Linked DNA regions of Drosophila melanogaster. The protein of the gene in region 1 binds, or shares a complex with, the protein of each later gene. Each region holds a gene or a part of one and is shown on either strand. Other genes may lie near its edges.

The links. Proteins that work in one complex are often made in the same cells at the same time.
Region 2: Nup44A (region 1) and Wdr59 share a complex: the UniProt entries of both Drosophila melanogaster proteins name them as parts of the GATOR complex.

Annotation. Positions count from the first base shown.
Region 1 is NT_033778.4:7,984,942-7,992,696, forward strand, and holds Nup44A (nucleoporin at 44A), read left to right. Parts: upstream 1-3,520; 5' UTR 3,521-3,568; intron 3,569-3,590; exon of another isoform or gene 3,591-3,686; intron 3,687-4,574; exon of another isoform or gene 4,575-4,773; intron 4,774-4,890; 5' UTR 4,891-5,011; coding exon 5,012-5,122; intron 5,123-5,183; coding exon 5,184-5,621; intron 5,622-5,717; coding exon 5,718-5,926; intron 5,927-5,986; coding exon 5,987-6,293; 3' UTR 6,294-6,342; downstream 6,343-7,755. Other genes in the region: ACC (Acetyl-CoA carboxylase), read right to left, coding at 1-61, 125-510, 661-820. UniProt on the Drosophila melanogaster protein: Probable component of the nuclear pore complex (NPC). Involved in maintaining the localization of another nucleoporin Mgtor to the nuclear envelope of early meiotic female germline cells.
Region 2 is NT_033779.5:11,088,302-11,096,998, reverse strand, and holds Wdr59 (WD repeat domain 59), read right to left. Parts: upstream 5,556-8,697; 5' UTR 5,433-5,555; coding exon 5,121-5,432; intron 5,058-5,120; coding exon 4,847-5,057; intron 4,791-4,846; coding exon 4,507-4,790; intron 4,447-4,506; coding exon 4,273-4,446; intron 4,218-4,272; coding exon 2,364-4,217; intron 2,237-2,363; coding exon 2,162-2,236; 3' UTR 1,903-2,161; downstream 1-1,902. Other genes in the region: Ge-1, read left to right, coding at 1-234, 298-463, 524-1,046, 1,122-1,311; CG16854 (uncharacterized protein), read right to left, coding at 6,580-8,641. UniProt on the Drosophila melanogaster protein: A component of the GATOR complex, which functions as a regulator of the amino acid-sensing branch of the mTORC1 signaling pathway.

The DNA.
Region 1 (7,755 bases):
GGGGGAACTCGTCACATGCCTCGCCCGCCTCGGCGGCCCGCTCGTCGATCTCATCACCCACCTGTGGAAGGGAAACGGTGGCTGAGTGATGGTGCCAAGAGATGGGAAATATGATGAATCGTACCAAAAAGCTGGGCCGCTCGCCCTCGGCGGATTGGGCGGCCGTGTCATTGGACTCATTTGTTTCGCTCATCTTGCTGATGCTGATGCTGATGTCGATGCTGTTGTTGTTCTGGTTCTTGTTGATGCTGCTGTTGTTGTTGTTCTGGTGGCAGGCAATGCGAATGTTGTCGTTGCTCAGATTGCTGAGTGCGCTATCCTTCAGCTGGTCGCACAGCTCATCCACGTCGGACCGGAGGCTCTCGCTGGAGAACTGGACCTTCTTGATGCACGCCTTGGGGAATCGCTTGTCACTCGCTTTTACCGCCGAAGGAGGTGCTGCTGGAGCAATAGGAGGCTTGCTGCTGGTGGTTGTTGCCGTTGCTGTAGCTGCAATCACGCTGGAGTTGTCTGTAAGCAGAGATAAGGAAAACAAGGTACGCGTGAGTCGTGGTCAAAAGTCGTATACACATAATGAACTAATTAAACTGGGTTATCAGCTAGGTGTGCGATTTGTGTGCCCTTCAAGTGTTTCGGTTTAGCAAAGTGGGGGATTCTTACGATTGGTGTTGCCGTTGTCGCTGTCGCCAGTTGTTGCTGTCGTGGCGGATGTTGCTGCAGACGATTGGACGGGTTTGGATCTTTTCTGGCCGCGGCCAAAGATCAATGTCAAGAGGAATGCGAGAAAAGCAGCCAGAGTGCCTAATATCGTGATCAACATCGGCTAAATCCAAAAAGCTGCTTTAAATCGGTGAATGCAAATCGGATTAGATAATCTGCTATCTGGTGGCCAGCTAGCTGGGTTAGTTTACAGTGTGTAGATAGTGAAAGTGCCTGTGCATCATCTTGTTTCGGATACTTTTCAAGTTCAAAAACCTTGCCACGATATTGTAGGCCAAAGCGGCGAAACAAAACAAAATGAAAATGCTAATCAATGCATTAACTAGTTTGCGAGATACAATTAAGAAACCGAAAAAACAACCATATGAGACCCAAAAATAAATCGTTGCCAGGTCAATGAGGCAGCTGATAAGAGATGTGGTCAACGAATAAGGTATACTCTACGGGAAATTCAAACTAATCTACAGATCAAGCGGGTGACTTCAAAAGTATGCAATAAGTATTTCAAAGTACGTTGTAAAGGCGCAAGTGAATATTATGTTTAGCAACTACGTAATTAGTGACAGGTGTCGAATTACGATTTAATCAACACTATTACACCTGCATATATCACTTGAAAAGTTTCAATCTAAGTACATATCAAAGTTTTCAATATACTATACGAAAATACAGGAGCTCAAGCTGTTTCCGGGTCAAAGATGGCTTCACTACTAAATAATCTACTTTAGATACCCTTTGGCAGGGCGATAAAACTTAAAAACACGAAAATTAATTTCGGATATGAGGTTCAATGTGCAGCGCATTTAAAATTAAAACAAAACGGCGAAGAGCGCGAAGGGAAAATTGAAGAAACTTAAGCTGACAGAAACAAAACCCCCCCAGTTGGTTGGTTGGTGTGAGGAAATGCAAATCGGTGTGGTATGGCCAGCAGAAGAGGTCAATGATTTTGGCATTACAGTATACATGTGTGCACGTGTGTAAGTGTGCCAGCCAGGCGGCGGGCATTGAAAGACACGGAAAGTCGGATTGGACACCGGAATCGATCTCTGGCAACCAGCGGGGTGTTATGTAACCGCTTACTCGGAAATCGCGCAGAGAACTGGGACTTGGGTTACACTCTGCGCTGGAAACGACTCAACAGGTGTGGCCCGGTCCCGTACTCAAGTAGCTCCGTTAGTGCGCACCCTCGCAATGGATGGAGTCTTTTAATTGTGCTTTATTTACCACCGATCCTGTGATAAGAACTCTGCTGGCATTACTCAACAGTCGAAAACAAAAGAATCTTACTCGACGTGCGATTATCTCTAGGGCAGCACTTTTCGGGACCTTGGCTGGATATGATACGGTTGTGTTTTGGGTTTAGTTCGTCTTAGGATTTAGATCTACGGTTTCAGCTCGCTTTACCACTCTGCGTGTGCCCTTGTTTAGCTTGTGATGGCAGTTTCGAAGACGAGGTCGGACCGGATCGGATCGGATTGTAGTAGACCGTGTAGGATCGGTTTGAACTTCCTAGACTGACTGGTTCCGCACGATTTCTAGATGGCTACTGCAGTGACCGACGATTGGAACTCAACTGGGCCATGCTCGTCCGAAAAGCACTATCGATGCCTGAACGCCGCTTCTCCGAACGCGCAGCGGACGCCGACTTCGGCGTCGCCACTATCAATATCAACTATAGCTATAGCTTTGACTACGTCTACGGCCAGGTTTTCGTGCGCGGACCTGTGTTTGTGCGTGTTCAGGTTGTTGCGCTCGTATGTTAATCGCCAGCGGGTCTCGCGGGTCGCCAAGCCAATTGTTGTTGTTGTTGTTGTGTTATTGTTTTGCTTATTGCTGGCTCAGCCAGCGCCAAGTGACCAGGAGGAATATATGTGCACTATGTACTACATAAGAACTACATATGTACAAGGAGCGCCACTAATTCGAACAGAAAGGCGGTCGAATTAAGCGGGGCAACCTGCCGGATTAATAACAATTTTTATGAAGGTGGCTCAAGTAATGACGACCAGTGTGCTCCGTCGGTTTCAGTGATCTTTTTGTGAACCAATTATGCCATAACAATGTCCGAATAAATAAATGCTGGGTACAGTGGCACCAGAGAAATATTTAACAAAATCATTTCTTTATTGTCGTCAGTGATGAATAAGGTTTCTGTATATACCGATTCAACAAGTTCTGGAATAACTACAATGACATTTTGTTTTATATTGGATTTTTTGCGTAGTTTCCAAACTAAAAACTCATAAAAACTAACCATAAAAGCATGCCCTTCCAGCGGCAATCGCAATCAGCTTAACATCAGTGAGTTCCACTATAGGAAAGTTCCACTGTTGCACAGCAATTATACCTTAACGGTCTGCGGCTGATAAAAGATAAGAGCGACATGATGATGGCGATCAGCTGTTGCCAACAACCGTCTACCCCTCTCTGTCACTAGCAGTGCGTCCCGCTCTTTTCTCTTCCATGTATCTCTGTCTCATGGGCGGCGGTAGCTTTTCAATGTCAAGGTCGCCGATGGCATTCGGTACTGCTGTTGTTGTTGTTGCTGCTCCAGCTGGACTTAATCTGGGAGTTGACCCAACCGCTGACGGAAATGCACTCTGCTGCTGGGAGCAGCAAGCAGCAACAACAACGACCATAATTTCTCAATTTGCTGGCGTAAGTGGCAAGCGATGCTGATTAGGGTTAAATGGGCGAAAACGCCAGAAATTGATTAGCGCGATGCACTTGAATCGAATTATTATTAACGAATTCAGTGCGCTGCCACGAGCAGAACACGCGAACGCCGCTGATTTGTTTTCATTCCGTGATGCTCGCTGCTCCCGGCATCAGCAGAGGTTTTTTAAAAGTCATAAAAGAAATTCCCGACGCGACGCCCGCTTTAATCTCAGATAGGCGGCGAGTGCCTGAAAAATCTTCCGATTTCGGCATTGGCCTTGGCGACCGATTATGATTAATACTTAACGGTGACGGGTCTTCATGGTTTCGGCTCGGGCTCAATTCCAAATCTTTCCCGGCATCTTATCGCACGGAAATTTTTGTATTTCGGTGTTCGATTCTGTTCGAATTATTCATGTTTGGCGCGTGGCCAGAAAAAAACCGTCTACTGATATCACAGCCAAATAATAATAGAACCGAAAGTCGGTCGCGTGTGAAACGCCTGATTTCGATGTGCTTATCTCTAGGATTTCTACAGAGCAACAAACAACCGATTTGTGCGTGATAACACACTTGAAATCTTGTAGACACTGTAAAGTGCACGGTTTACAGTTAAATTGTTTTTTAATTTCTTAGCAAAATACTACGAATTTGTAGTGACTGCGTTGGATTGAATTTCCGATTCGAGTCCTTGTGATATGCTCATATTTCATAAATATACTTATATCGTATTTATGCAATACAATACCAACAAGAAATGCAGTCTCCAATTTAGTTCTTATTAGGTAATTGATGCCGGCCGACATACACACACGTTGGCAGCTATGCTGCTCTCTCGCCCATACACACACACACACATACGTCACGGGCATCGCGCGATGTGTAAAATCCAATAGGAATCAAGGTCAGCAGCGAGTGCGCGAGCGAGAGAGGGCGAGCAAGGCAAGACATATTGAGCATATTGCAGATGGAAGCAATTGGAATTTATGCTGCCCATTGCACTTTGATTGAAATCCGCACTTTAGCCAGCGAATTCAAATGCTAAACAAACGCGGGTCCCGATCTACATACGACTATGCTGTGGGGTTGTTCACCCCACTCATTTGCATACACATATGCGCATACATTTCGCTCGGATCGTATCGTATAGGATCGGGCCGTAATTACCCGTTTAGTGCTTAGATTACCGCACTTACTCTTCTCCATCGCACTGCGCTTCGCACGTTTCTTTCGGTTGGCAATTTTGTTGTGTGTAACTGTTCTTTTCCGGGTGCAAAACGGCCTCTTGGCGGCTATTGGAGTCCTGACTCTCCGACTAGTGTGGTTCTCGCGAATCCCGGATGGGCGTGTGGCACGGCTGATACGTTATCAGCTTGTGATCGACTAGAGTACTGTGTTTTGTTATTTTTCGCTCGATTTTTTATTCGTATTTCACGCGTAATTCGGACCACTAACTCGGTGTGACCGTTCGCCTGGGCGTACTGAAAAAATACTGAGCAAGGTAAACAACAGCTGTTCGGCGGCTGTTTGCAAGCCAACCCTGTCTCTCCTTGTAGGGCTGCATTACCGGCGCAGATTTTTCGGCGCGTGCATTTTATAAACAACATTTCGGTAAATAAGTTGAGTTTTTATCATGTTCGACGTGGAACCCATTATTGCCGACCACAAGGATGTGATACACGACGTGGTCTTCGACTACTACGGCCGCAGGATGGCAACCTGTTCCAGCGATCAGACCGTCAAGGTGAGGACTCGAATTATTCCTACGATAAACAGCCTAGGTGATCCGGATTTTCTGCTTGCAGATTTGGGACGAGGATGGGCAGGGCAAGTGGAATGTCACGAGCAGCTGGAAAGCGCACTCCGGCTCCATTTGGCGCGTTTCCTGGGCGCACCCGGAATTTGGCCAGGTTGTGGCCACATGCTCATTTGATCGCACCGCCTCCGTTTGGGAGGAGGTGATTGGCGAAAAGGTATCCTCCACCAATACCCCCACTCGCCGCTGGGTGCGCCGCACCACCCTTGTAGACTCGCGGACCAGTGTCACGGATGTGGAGTTTGCACCCAAGTACCTGGGACTCCTGCTGGCCACCGCCTCCGCCGACGGCATTATTCGCATCTATGAGGCCCCGGACATTATGAACCTCTCGCAGTGGCCCGTGCAGCACGAGATTAGCAACAAATTGCCGCTGAGCTGTTTGTCCTGGAACACTTCCACTTACATGGTCACCCAGCTGCTGGCGGTGAGTATATTTAAATTCCAAGTCTTAGTCTATTAAGGATTAATTCTATTATCTGTGGAGTAAGAATAAGCCTAATTTTCATAAATTATTTTGCAGGCGGGCAGCGACGAGGCAGCCACGCCTACTGGCAAGGTCTTCTTATTCGCCTACAGCGAGAATTCCCGAAAGTGCGTTAAAATCGATACTGTCAATGATATAACCGATCCGGTCACGGATGTGGCCTTTGCTCCAAATGCCGGACGCACCTTTCACATGCTGGCAGTGGCCAGCAAGGATCTTTATATTGTGAACTTGCGGGGTGTAACGTAAGATCGACAATTTAAAGACCCAAAATCATTTAATAATAATAATTTTTATAATTAAAGGGACGCCACGGACATCTCCAAGTTGGACATCCAGACCATTAAGTTTAGCGAGCACAATTGCCCAGTGTGGCGCGTCTGTTGGAATATGCTGGCCACGATGCTGATCTCCACGGGCGACGACGGTTGTGTGCGTCTGTGGCGAATGAACTACAACCGGCAGTGGCGCTGTGCCGCCGTCTTGAAGGCAGAGGGCAGCGGACCCACCTACGAGCCTGCTCCGCCCACTCCGACACTGGCCACTACCGCCTCGGCCACGGCCAAGTTCTACAAAAAGGGCACCATCGGCAACCAGGTGCCGTGGCACTGATCTTGTTCTTAATTGTAAGAGTTCCGAATAAATTCCTAAGTTAAACCTCAGCCGCTTGCCTTTCAATATGAGTGGTTTTCTTTAGTTATGTTTAGAGTTCACGGTATTAATGTTAATGTTATTAATGAAGTGAACTATCAATGGGTTTACGCATTATTCAATCGTTTTAAAGATTCCGTGGAACGATAATTTTCTAGAAAAATATTTTTGATTAAACTTTATCTTGGTGCCACCATGAACCAAACTTATATCACTGTGCGGAATAGTCCACGTAGTGTTCGTCGCGCACCAGAAGACACAACGAATCTTAGTAGTCCCGAATCATGAATCAATAAATCTACTCGGTTATTGTCGGATTGTACGTTTTGCTATAAAGTTGGAATCGCATCATTTGCGTAATTCGTGGATACTTCCCATACGAAATGGGTCTAAACGAATATTCGGAAGGCCTGTGTGTTTTGATACCACCACTTACATCTCGGATTAGAAGCCGGCATTCTTGCGAATCCAATGAATAGCTTTCTGGTCCACATTTCCCCAGTTCAGTGTTCCTCAGATCGCTTTTCCTAGGGCATTTTCGCGTTACATCACAAAACGTGGAGCTCTCAATGCTCCAAAGTGCCAGAAACTAATAAAAAAACAATGGGATGTTACTTCAACTTCTGCCTGCCGGCTGGCAAACTAGAGCAACTATTGATTTTGGACAACTTCCCGAAAGGCGAAGAATCAAAACAGAATTAAAGTTCACACAACGAGAAAGAGCGAGCACTAGAGATAGTGACTATAATGGCAAGCACTCTCCATACGGTCACATGTGTGTGTTTGAGGGAGAGCGGCAGATCTGATGTGCTAGCTATTTTAAAAAACCCCATGGCACAGGCCAAATCCGAGATAGATCCATCCCATTCGAGTGGGTCGGGACCAGCAGAGGTGAGGAGGAAAAGGCATTTTCGGGTTCAGTGGTTGCATTCAAATCGATTTTATTGAGATTTATTTATGGGCTATGTATTCTCGATTAACTCCTCACACGGGAGTACATAAATGGATCATAAATCCCTTTCAAGTGCACTTCCATTTACATTCCATCCACATGTGCATAAATTAACTAGGACGCCGACAAGTGCCCAAAAACAGGGTTTTTATTATGTTTAACACGGAAAAGCATTCAGAAATGTCGCGAAATATTCCACTTAATTGACTCGAACCGCAATAAAAACGAAATCATCGCACTTTCGATGACACCACAAAACTATAATAATAATAATGATATGCAACCACCCCTCCGCGGGCTTCGTCCTTGCGATCCTGTTGCTCTGCTGGTAATCCAAAGAATGAAATCCGTCCGACCAGCTCGATGGCTTTTGTAGTCACCGATGAAACCACCCCGGTTCGGTATCACAAGTTCCCTGTCCCAGATCCGAATGATTGTCTCTAATTGGAAGTTTTGACGTGTGTATTACGT
Region 2 (8,697 bases), on another chromosome or scaffold:
CAAAACCGAGAGCTACGTGACTCCGTGCTGCAGGTACTAAATCAGTATGTCATGAACCACTTTACGGACATTATTGGCAACGTTCTCAACATGGAACTGCAGCGCCAACTGCTTCCTCGCGTGAATGCCAACATGGATCAGCTCCAAGCCCAAATGCAAGTGGAGATTGTGCAGAAGCTGAGTGTGTTTGACAAAACGGTGAAGGAGAATATTGCCCAGGTGTGCAAGAGCAAGGTACGTAATCTGCAAGTCCATCTATAAATGCTTATAATTAAGCGTTTTTTTTTCATTACTTAGCAATTTCTGGATACTTTTGGCAAGTCCGTGTTGATTGGTGTTCAAACCAGCCTACAAACCGCCTTCATTGAATCTATGAGCAGCACCTTGATTCCAGCTTATGAGAAGTCCTCGCAGAACATGTTTAAACAACTGCATGACGCTTTCAGCGTGGGCATAAAAGACTGTTAGTATATAATCATTACAATCATAATGGATACATAAAGCTCCTTCTTTTGAATTCCAGTTATGGTCCAGTTTAACACCTACCTGCAGCACATGCCACAGCCCCAAGCCGGGAGTGGCAATACGGAGGAGATAAACAACAAGTTGTCCATGCTTAAGCAATTGGTAGAGAGCAGCTTGCACAAGCACCGCACTGAACTCACGGACGCCATGCTCGAGACACAAAGAGAAGTGAAGAGCTTAGAGATTTTGCTGGCGCGTCAGGTACAGGAAACGATCAGAGCAGAGCTACGCAAGCACATGGAAGCCCAGAACGTGGCAATGCGTTCGCAGGCAGCTACGCCTGCACCACCTTACGACCTCAGGGACAGCATTAAGCAGCTTTTGATGGCTGGACAAATCAACAAGGCCTTCCATCAGGCTCTATTGGCCAACGACTTGGGCCTAGTGGAGTTCACTCTCCGACACACGGACAGCAACCAGGCATTCGCACCAGAGGGATGCAGACTGGAGCAAAAGGTTCTACTGTCGCTCATTCAGCAAATATCCGCTGACATGACCAATCACAATGAGCTTAAGCAGAGGTGAGCTAGGAGAACTAAACAAGTAACAAAACATTACAAAGAATTACATTGATGATGTACCTTTTTCATTTGTAGATATCTCAACGAGGCACTGTTGGCCATCAATATGGCAGATCCCATTACCCGCGAGCACGCTCCTAAAGTGCTCACCGAGCTGTATCGCAATTGTCAGCAGTTCATTAAGAACAGCCCCAAGAATTCGCAGTTCAGCAACGTCCGTCTGCTGATGAAGGCAATCATAACGTACCGCGATCAGCTAAAATGATATCAAGAGAACTATAACCTGGCCAGTGGCTGGTTTTGATAGATTACCCATCCGATCCCCATCCAAGATAGTTAATCTATGACCACAAACACATTTATAAATACACGCTTGTAGTTAAGTCCAAAAAGAAGTTAGTATGCTAAAAAGCTCTCAGCTAAGTTCATCCCTTAAAAAGTTGAAATTGAATCTATGCCTTTCATTTTATTGTTTATTTGTTTTGTGCGTGATTTGTTTATAGTAAGGCCGTATATCTAATGTTTATGTCGCTATATCAAAATTGTATTATCTTTATAATGATTCGCCTACTAAATTGCAATATATTTTTTTATTATTTTATTTTTGCGTTCCTTTTATTTTCCTTTTTATCTTTATGACGCTTAATGAACAAAAGAAAACACACAAAAACAAGAATAGGAGCTGTAGAAACTTATTTAAAAATTATTTTCAAAACTAAAGCAAACTTTATTATGACGGACAAAACAAAAAAATTATTAGATTGCAAATGCAAAAACTACAAGTAAATCGTAGAATTTAAGCTAAAAAAAAAAAAAAAAAACAGAAAGCAAAAGTCGATAATAAAAAAGAATAAATGTATGTACTTGAAAAAATCTAGAAACAGTTCTTTTTGAATTATCGTAACCATATGATTTTGGTTAAGTGTATAGTTGCATAAAGCTTTTACCCTTAGCTTGGCTAGTAAGTGGTCATATATTTCTCAATGGTATGCAAATCGTACAAAAATTGTTGGCCTAATGACTAAAAAACACCTAACTATTTTGATATCCACACAGACGAAAGAAAGTTAAGTAAGATTATTTTTGAAAGGAATGCACATCACTCAAGGTCTGAATCAGCTGAGTAGGGCTAGCAGCTCTGAGGTGCGCTCCAAGCACTTGCAGCCACACGTAGCACAGACATTGTGTTTCTGAAAGTTAAACAAGAAAATAGCAAACATGAATATATTTATATCCATAAATCCATAAATCCAAATCCATACATCGTTTGGTTCGTGAAAAAGAAACCAGTCGAATCAAACTCAAATAGATACCAACCTCAAACCACTGCATCATGTGATCAATGTGACCGCCATGGCCACAAGCCAGACACGCATTGGCTGCTCCTTTCACAGGCAAACGGCAGAGGACGCAGAAGAGTACGGGTCGCTTGCAGGGCTCGCATTTGGGCGTCCGTTTGGGCTTGGCACACTTCCTGCACTCGGTAACGAATTCCACACCCTGGACTGGAGGTGGTGTATTCTGCGTGTGCTTGAGGATCAAAGCCCGCTTCGAAAGCAACTGCCAGCCAAATAAAATTTCGGCATAGGCGCGCTTAAATTGATCAAACAGTGGCATCTTAGTCCGTCTAATCAATGAGCAAGCGTATGCATCAGACTGGATTTGCTTAATCTCCAAATCCAGGGAGTCGGACCAAGAGTTGCTGCGTAGTTGCTTAAGTTGCTGCCAAGTGTTCGATGAAGAAGATGACTTGACGTCAAGCGGCAGGACCGTGTGATACGGTGAAATTTGCGAGTTAAGCTGCGGCGGAAGTCGAACTGTCTTCTCCATAATGGCACCGCCACCCGTGGGGCACTTGTCAAACAAACAAGCCAGCAGCACAGCAGTCTGTATGTCACCGGAGATAGCATAATGCATTATTAGTGATTCCAGCAGAGATTTCTTGAAGGGATCTTTGTAGAACAGCAGATCGTTGAGTGTTTCATGTGGAATTTGGGGTGTGGCTATCAGTTCCGCCAATAGCCACACGGGCACCAAGTCCAAGCGCCCATGCTGGCGACAGATCTCACCATTTTTACGACACGTTTCTGCTATGTTGCACTTATCGAGGGAGAACTCCCGAGCCATTCTCCGACTAATGTGGAGTAAGCTACTTGTGTCGTATACGTGAACCACCGGACTTCCATTCATCTGTCGGATGGCTCGCTGCTTGCCCGGTTTTCCCGAAATCATCCTCTCCTGGAGGTAAAAGGAGGCGTTAGCTTCCCTCTGGGCGGTGGCCATCACATTGCCTAGCAATCCACTACCATTAATCGATGAAAAAGTCCGTGGAGTCAATGCGGTGTGTTGCCGCAGGGTCAGCCTTTTGTTGTTCACTGGTTGGGCGAAAGTGGTCAGCATACCAATGGCATTGAAATGGACCCCTGACGTCCGCGGATATGGAATGCAGGCATCGTGCAGGGTGCTCGACAAAGCTCCTTCCAGCCGAGGGGATTGCAGGAGCAGTTGGCTACGATCCGCTCCGCCTACAGCGGCCACCTTTTTCTTCATAGCCGCCACTAGAGCACGTAGGCATTGTTCCAGGCACGTGCGGGATTTCTTGACCCGTTGCAATGCATTGCAACGGAGCACTTTTAGCAGAACTCCACTAACTTCACTGGACAGAGTGGTTCCCTGGCAAAGCTGAAAGTCCGGCGGAGCACTAGGACTTGGATACGATGTCGTGAAAGTCACTTGTAAAATAACCGTGTGTCCACCGGCGCAAATCTTGAAGCAGGCGTACCGCTTTATGGCATCTAGTGTGTCTACCTCCACATGAGGCATGTTTGTGTTGAGCAGCGAGAATTCGTGGTGCAGCGAACACGTGGGTTGATCTGTTAGTGATCTGGCTATGTGGGGCTCTTCCCTGCGATAGTAGCCACCTCCAAAGCTCGGGGAGCGAGCCATGGGCAAGGTATTACAAGCACCGTCACCCGTGGATATGGGCAACGAAGCGGCAACCAAAATTGATCGTGGATGCAGGAATTCTGGAGGAGTAGGCACTCTTAACTCACTGAGATCGGGCTCGAAACGGGATTCTATTTCTTCCGCAGACGGTTCGCAAAGCTTTAGCATATTATCATCGATCTTCCACACCCGCAGCGTGCGATCCCTGGACCAAGTGACCAGTTCCTAATTAAAGCTCAATGCATAAGTAAGAACATTGTGGTATCTTTAAAATACTTACTATTTCATTGGAACTTTCACGATTTGGACGCCAGGCAAAGTCAAGAATGACATCGGTGTGCCCCACGAAGGAACAAATAGGGTCCGTTTGCTTGCTGTTGCTCCAGAGCAGCAAACTATTCTCTCCGCGTCCCAAATGGGGCACCACAATGCTAACCAGACCGTTGCCAATAGGCTGTATGGAACAAGATGTATTTAGAATAGCAATCAATATTGATAAACCAATATAAATTACCGTGTATCTCGCTCTCCAAACGGGCGACATGGTTGTAATGATCTTCTCGGCCCTGCGAGGATTACATACATCAAAGTACTTGACCGTTCCATCCTGACTGGCGGTTGCCAAGCAGGTCTCCCTTTTGTGGCTCCAATTGATGCCATGCACTCTATTTAAATGTGCTGTGATATAGTGCGTCGGGCAACTACCCTTGCGAATATCCCAGATGCGTAAATCTCCATCATGGGCAGCAGCCAAAAGGTTGCCCGAAACGCGGTTGAATCCCACTTGTGTAGCACCAGCTGAAAGAATTTTAAATATAATATAAAAAAGTTGAAATTATTTTGTAGAAACTTACACATGCACACGGCATTCAAGGACAGGGCTGGTTTCCTGGGCTCCCTTAAGTCCCAAATATGAGAAAATGTGTCTATTGAGCAGCTGACCAGCAGATTCGGATCCTTGCCGTGCCAGTCAATGTCGGTCACTGTTCGAGTATGCCCACGCAAGGACATCTCGTAGTGTGGTTCCGCAGTGCCCCAGCGAACGATGTCTATGTGCTGGCTAGTCTGAAATTCAAAGGTCAAACTGGGATAAACGCCGCCTATACGTAGATAACTTTATGTATTTACCGCTATGGCGCAGTACTCTTTGCGACTGGGACATATGGCAAACTCTGCTACGGACACCTCGTACTTCGATTGCCGTTCATGTCGTCGCAGAGACCCATCGTCCTGTCCCAAACGCTGCAAAGCCAGGTGACCACGGCCCGCGAGGAGCACCCACTGACCCGAGTAATCAACCGACATGGCCGTGGCCTGGGAATCTCGGTGTTCATAGTATTTGTTGCTCTGCCTGACGATGTACGTTTGTTCGGGTGCTCCTGCTCCCGGTCCACCGGCTGTTCCGCGTTCTCCCGGACGCAGTGTCTCCGTGGGCGGCATATTGTCCTACTCTAATAAGTGCTCAAAAAGCAAAAGACTGCGAATTTAAACCATTTTTGCAACAAACAAAAATTAAACGAAGAAACTGAACTGATAAGAACGATAGACAATAACAACAGGCGTCTGTGTTGGCAATTAAGCATTTTTTCCGACAAATGAATTTCCAGGACCTCGTTAAGCTGGCTATTTTTCAATAATGCTGTTGCTATAGTTTTTGATAATATATTAAAAAAATTACAAAATTAAACTAGAACATTATATGAAAAAATTGTACCTAATATTTTGTCGCAAAAGTTTGTAACACCCATAAATCTAGCTGGAATAACGACAGCACAACTATAGCTGAAAATGTTGTTTTTTCGATAGTATCGATAAAATTGTGGTTATAGCTATCGGGATTTGAATTTATGATATAAAACAGGTAAACGAGCTCAGAGCAAAATTTATAATTTTATATATATGGTCTTGTTAAATAAAAACGTTCGATTTTTTTTATAGATTTATTACATTTTATAAATTGTCAATCACCAAAAATATACATGTGCATTGGTTCATAAATGTTATGAAAATTATTAAAGTACGTGGCTAAATATAATTTAGCATCTAAATAAATTTGTAACTAGAAAGGGATATTCCCAATTGACTCATTTATAAAAAGTTCATCCTATTATTCATTTATTAACTCAGCATAAGGCTATAAATCATGAGATACTAAACAAAAAGTGCATTATATATGTATATAACAACTCAATTATGGTCTACAACATTAAGTGCTACATATTTTGGATACTATTATTTATTTATATGTTCGCCACTTCCCTCCCTAGTCAGTAATAGCTTATCATTTATTTTACATACACAAAGTAATTCTGCGGTTATTACGATTATTAGTTCATTCAGTTTATTGTCCTCTAAGTTAGTGGGAAATAAACAAATTCCGCTCAACTACCGTGACTACATAGGTGCCTAAGACTGGGAACTCCTTACGGCAAAGGCTAAAATTGGATAAGTATTTTTATACAAACATTGGCTATTTCATAGAAATAAACTAGGTTTTATGGCTAAGGCTACGTTAATGGGTTTCAAGTCTTTGACGTCAAACACATCCTCCCCATCCCCGAAAGCTCCCAGTTACATTGCCATTGCCTTATCTGTGGCAATAGCAGAACATTTTTAGCGCCGGATCGTTGAGACAGTAGCTCTGGCTTCCGTACAGATTCAGACGACTAATGGTGCCCGTTAGTACGGTCGTATAGCCCGTCATCCGCACCGTGGACTCAAACACACCCAGCCCGGGCTTCGTCTGCAGTCGCAGGGTGATGTCCACTGCGTAGTCCGTGGAAATGTTCTTCACAATCTTCGAGTGCGGCGCTGCAATCAGAGCCTGGAGTATGGAGTTCAGGTATAGGGTTCTGCACTGTGAGCTATCCTTCAGTCGGTTATTGATCAAGCGTACCAGATAGCGCGCCGCCCGCTGGACACGTGGATCGTTTGTCTGCAGCTCCTGGCGCTGATGGCAGGTGCACCAGTGGGCGGCAATCCCTGCCTGCTCGCAGGTCCGAGCAGCCGGGATGGGCAGGAATAGGCTAATGCCTCTGGGCAGCGTGCTATCCGGCTCGTCCATCTCTGTTGATCTGCGTTGCAACTGATCTGCCTCCAGATTGTGAAGATTTAGCAGCTGCAACATTGTCGCGTGCACATCAAATGGTGTGGTTAGCCGGCGGGCATTTAACCTAAGATTGGCAATTGCCTCCGGATAACGCTCGGTCATCCATGGCGGATACAAAAGCATCATTAGGGGCTGGCGCTCCTCCATCATGCCCTGGTAGGTACGACGAAAGGAACCCCATCTCAGTCCGTGATCGGATAGCAACATTACCACCGTGCGATTGAGCAATCCGGAATCTTGCAGCTGCATCAACTGTTGCAACATGGCCTCATCCAGTAGTGAGGGGAAATTAAAATAGTCATGGGTTAGGGCCACCGTCCAAAAAAATGAAAAGTAAAGATCCCTGCTCATTCGTGGCACCAATTTCTTCATATACTCGAGCAGCACATCCGCCGTCCTCCGGCTGCCCATGCACAAGTGCATGTTGAGGTCCTTCTTGAAGGCCACAGTCTTTTCCATTTCCATAATCATGGGTCGCAGATAATAATCCGTTGGCTGCTTTCGGAACCCATTTTGATTGTAATTGAATGCCGAGAGCATTGCCACATCCTCGGCGAAAATGGAGCGATAACCCAGTTGCTGGTAGCGTTTCCAAATGAATGAGCACCTATCATAGGATCGCAATGTCTTTGGCGTGCAGGCCAGATTCAGTTCCTGATCATCCAGGCCACTTAGCAGGGGCACGAGATTGGGAAACGTATTGTCGCCCACCTTGTTGTAGCCCCAAAATTCCACGTGGGACAGATGCTTACGGACGTAGTTCGCTGTGCGGCGCATCTGGCGCAGGAAATTTAGATGCGACAGGCTATCCATGCCGAGTATCATTACGGATAGCCGTTCCTGCTCCTCCTTGCTCTTGTTGAAGCTCACCCTATCGGTTCCAGTCTTAAGTGGGGGCCTAATCCTTGGCTTATCGACTGCAAAAAAATGACAGTCCTTGTAGAAGAGTTTGTCCAGTGAATCATAGCACCACATGCAAATGAACTCCGAGCTGAGAGGCAGTTTCATAACTTTGTCCAGCTTAAAACTCACTGCCGGACTGTGGGTGTTACTAGAATCGGTTTTGCGCTTCACCTCCGTATAGTTGCAATTAACGGAGGACAGGTCACTGATGTTGTAGTATGCGAGCAGCTCACTGGCCTCCAGATTGAGATGCAGCTGTCCGGGAATTGTGTCGCTCGTCCGGATCAGAGCTCTGTTGCAGCTGTACGGACGTGGCTTGAAAATGAACTGGGCAATGGTGTCGTCGCTGACCTCAAAGTGTGGCATCCGGCAGCCCGTCGTGTCAACGAAATAGGCCGTTGTCACATTTCCACCATAGTGGTCCTCGATGCGGGCCATAAAATCGAATCCATCACGGAAACGAAGTAGTTTCGTCCTCAGATTGTAGTCCACACATAGGTAGGAAAACACGCAGAGGGCGAAGATCACAATCACAACCTTCTTGAATTGTCCACGGTTCTTGTTCATGTTGTAGTAGCGATAGTACTGCTGTAGGTCCCTCTTGGTCATAAACTTCGGATCCAGCAGATATTTGCTTCTGTTGAATAGCAACAAGGAAACGATTAGATTGATTTGTATGTCTAACAGAAAAAA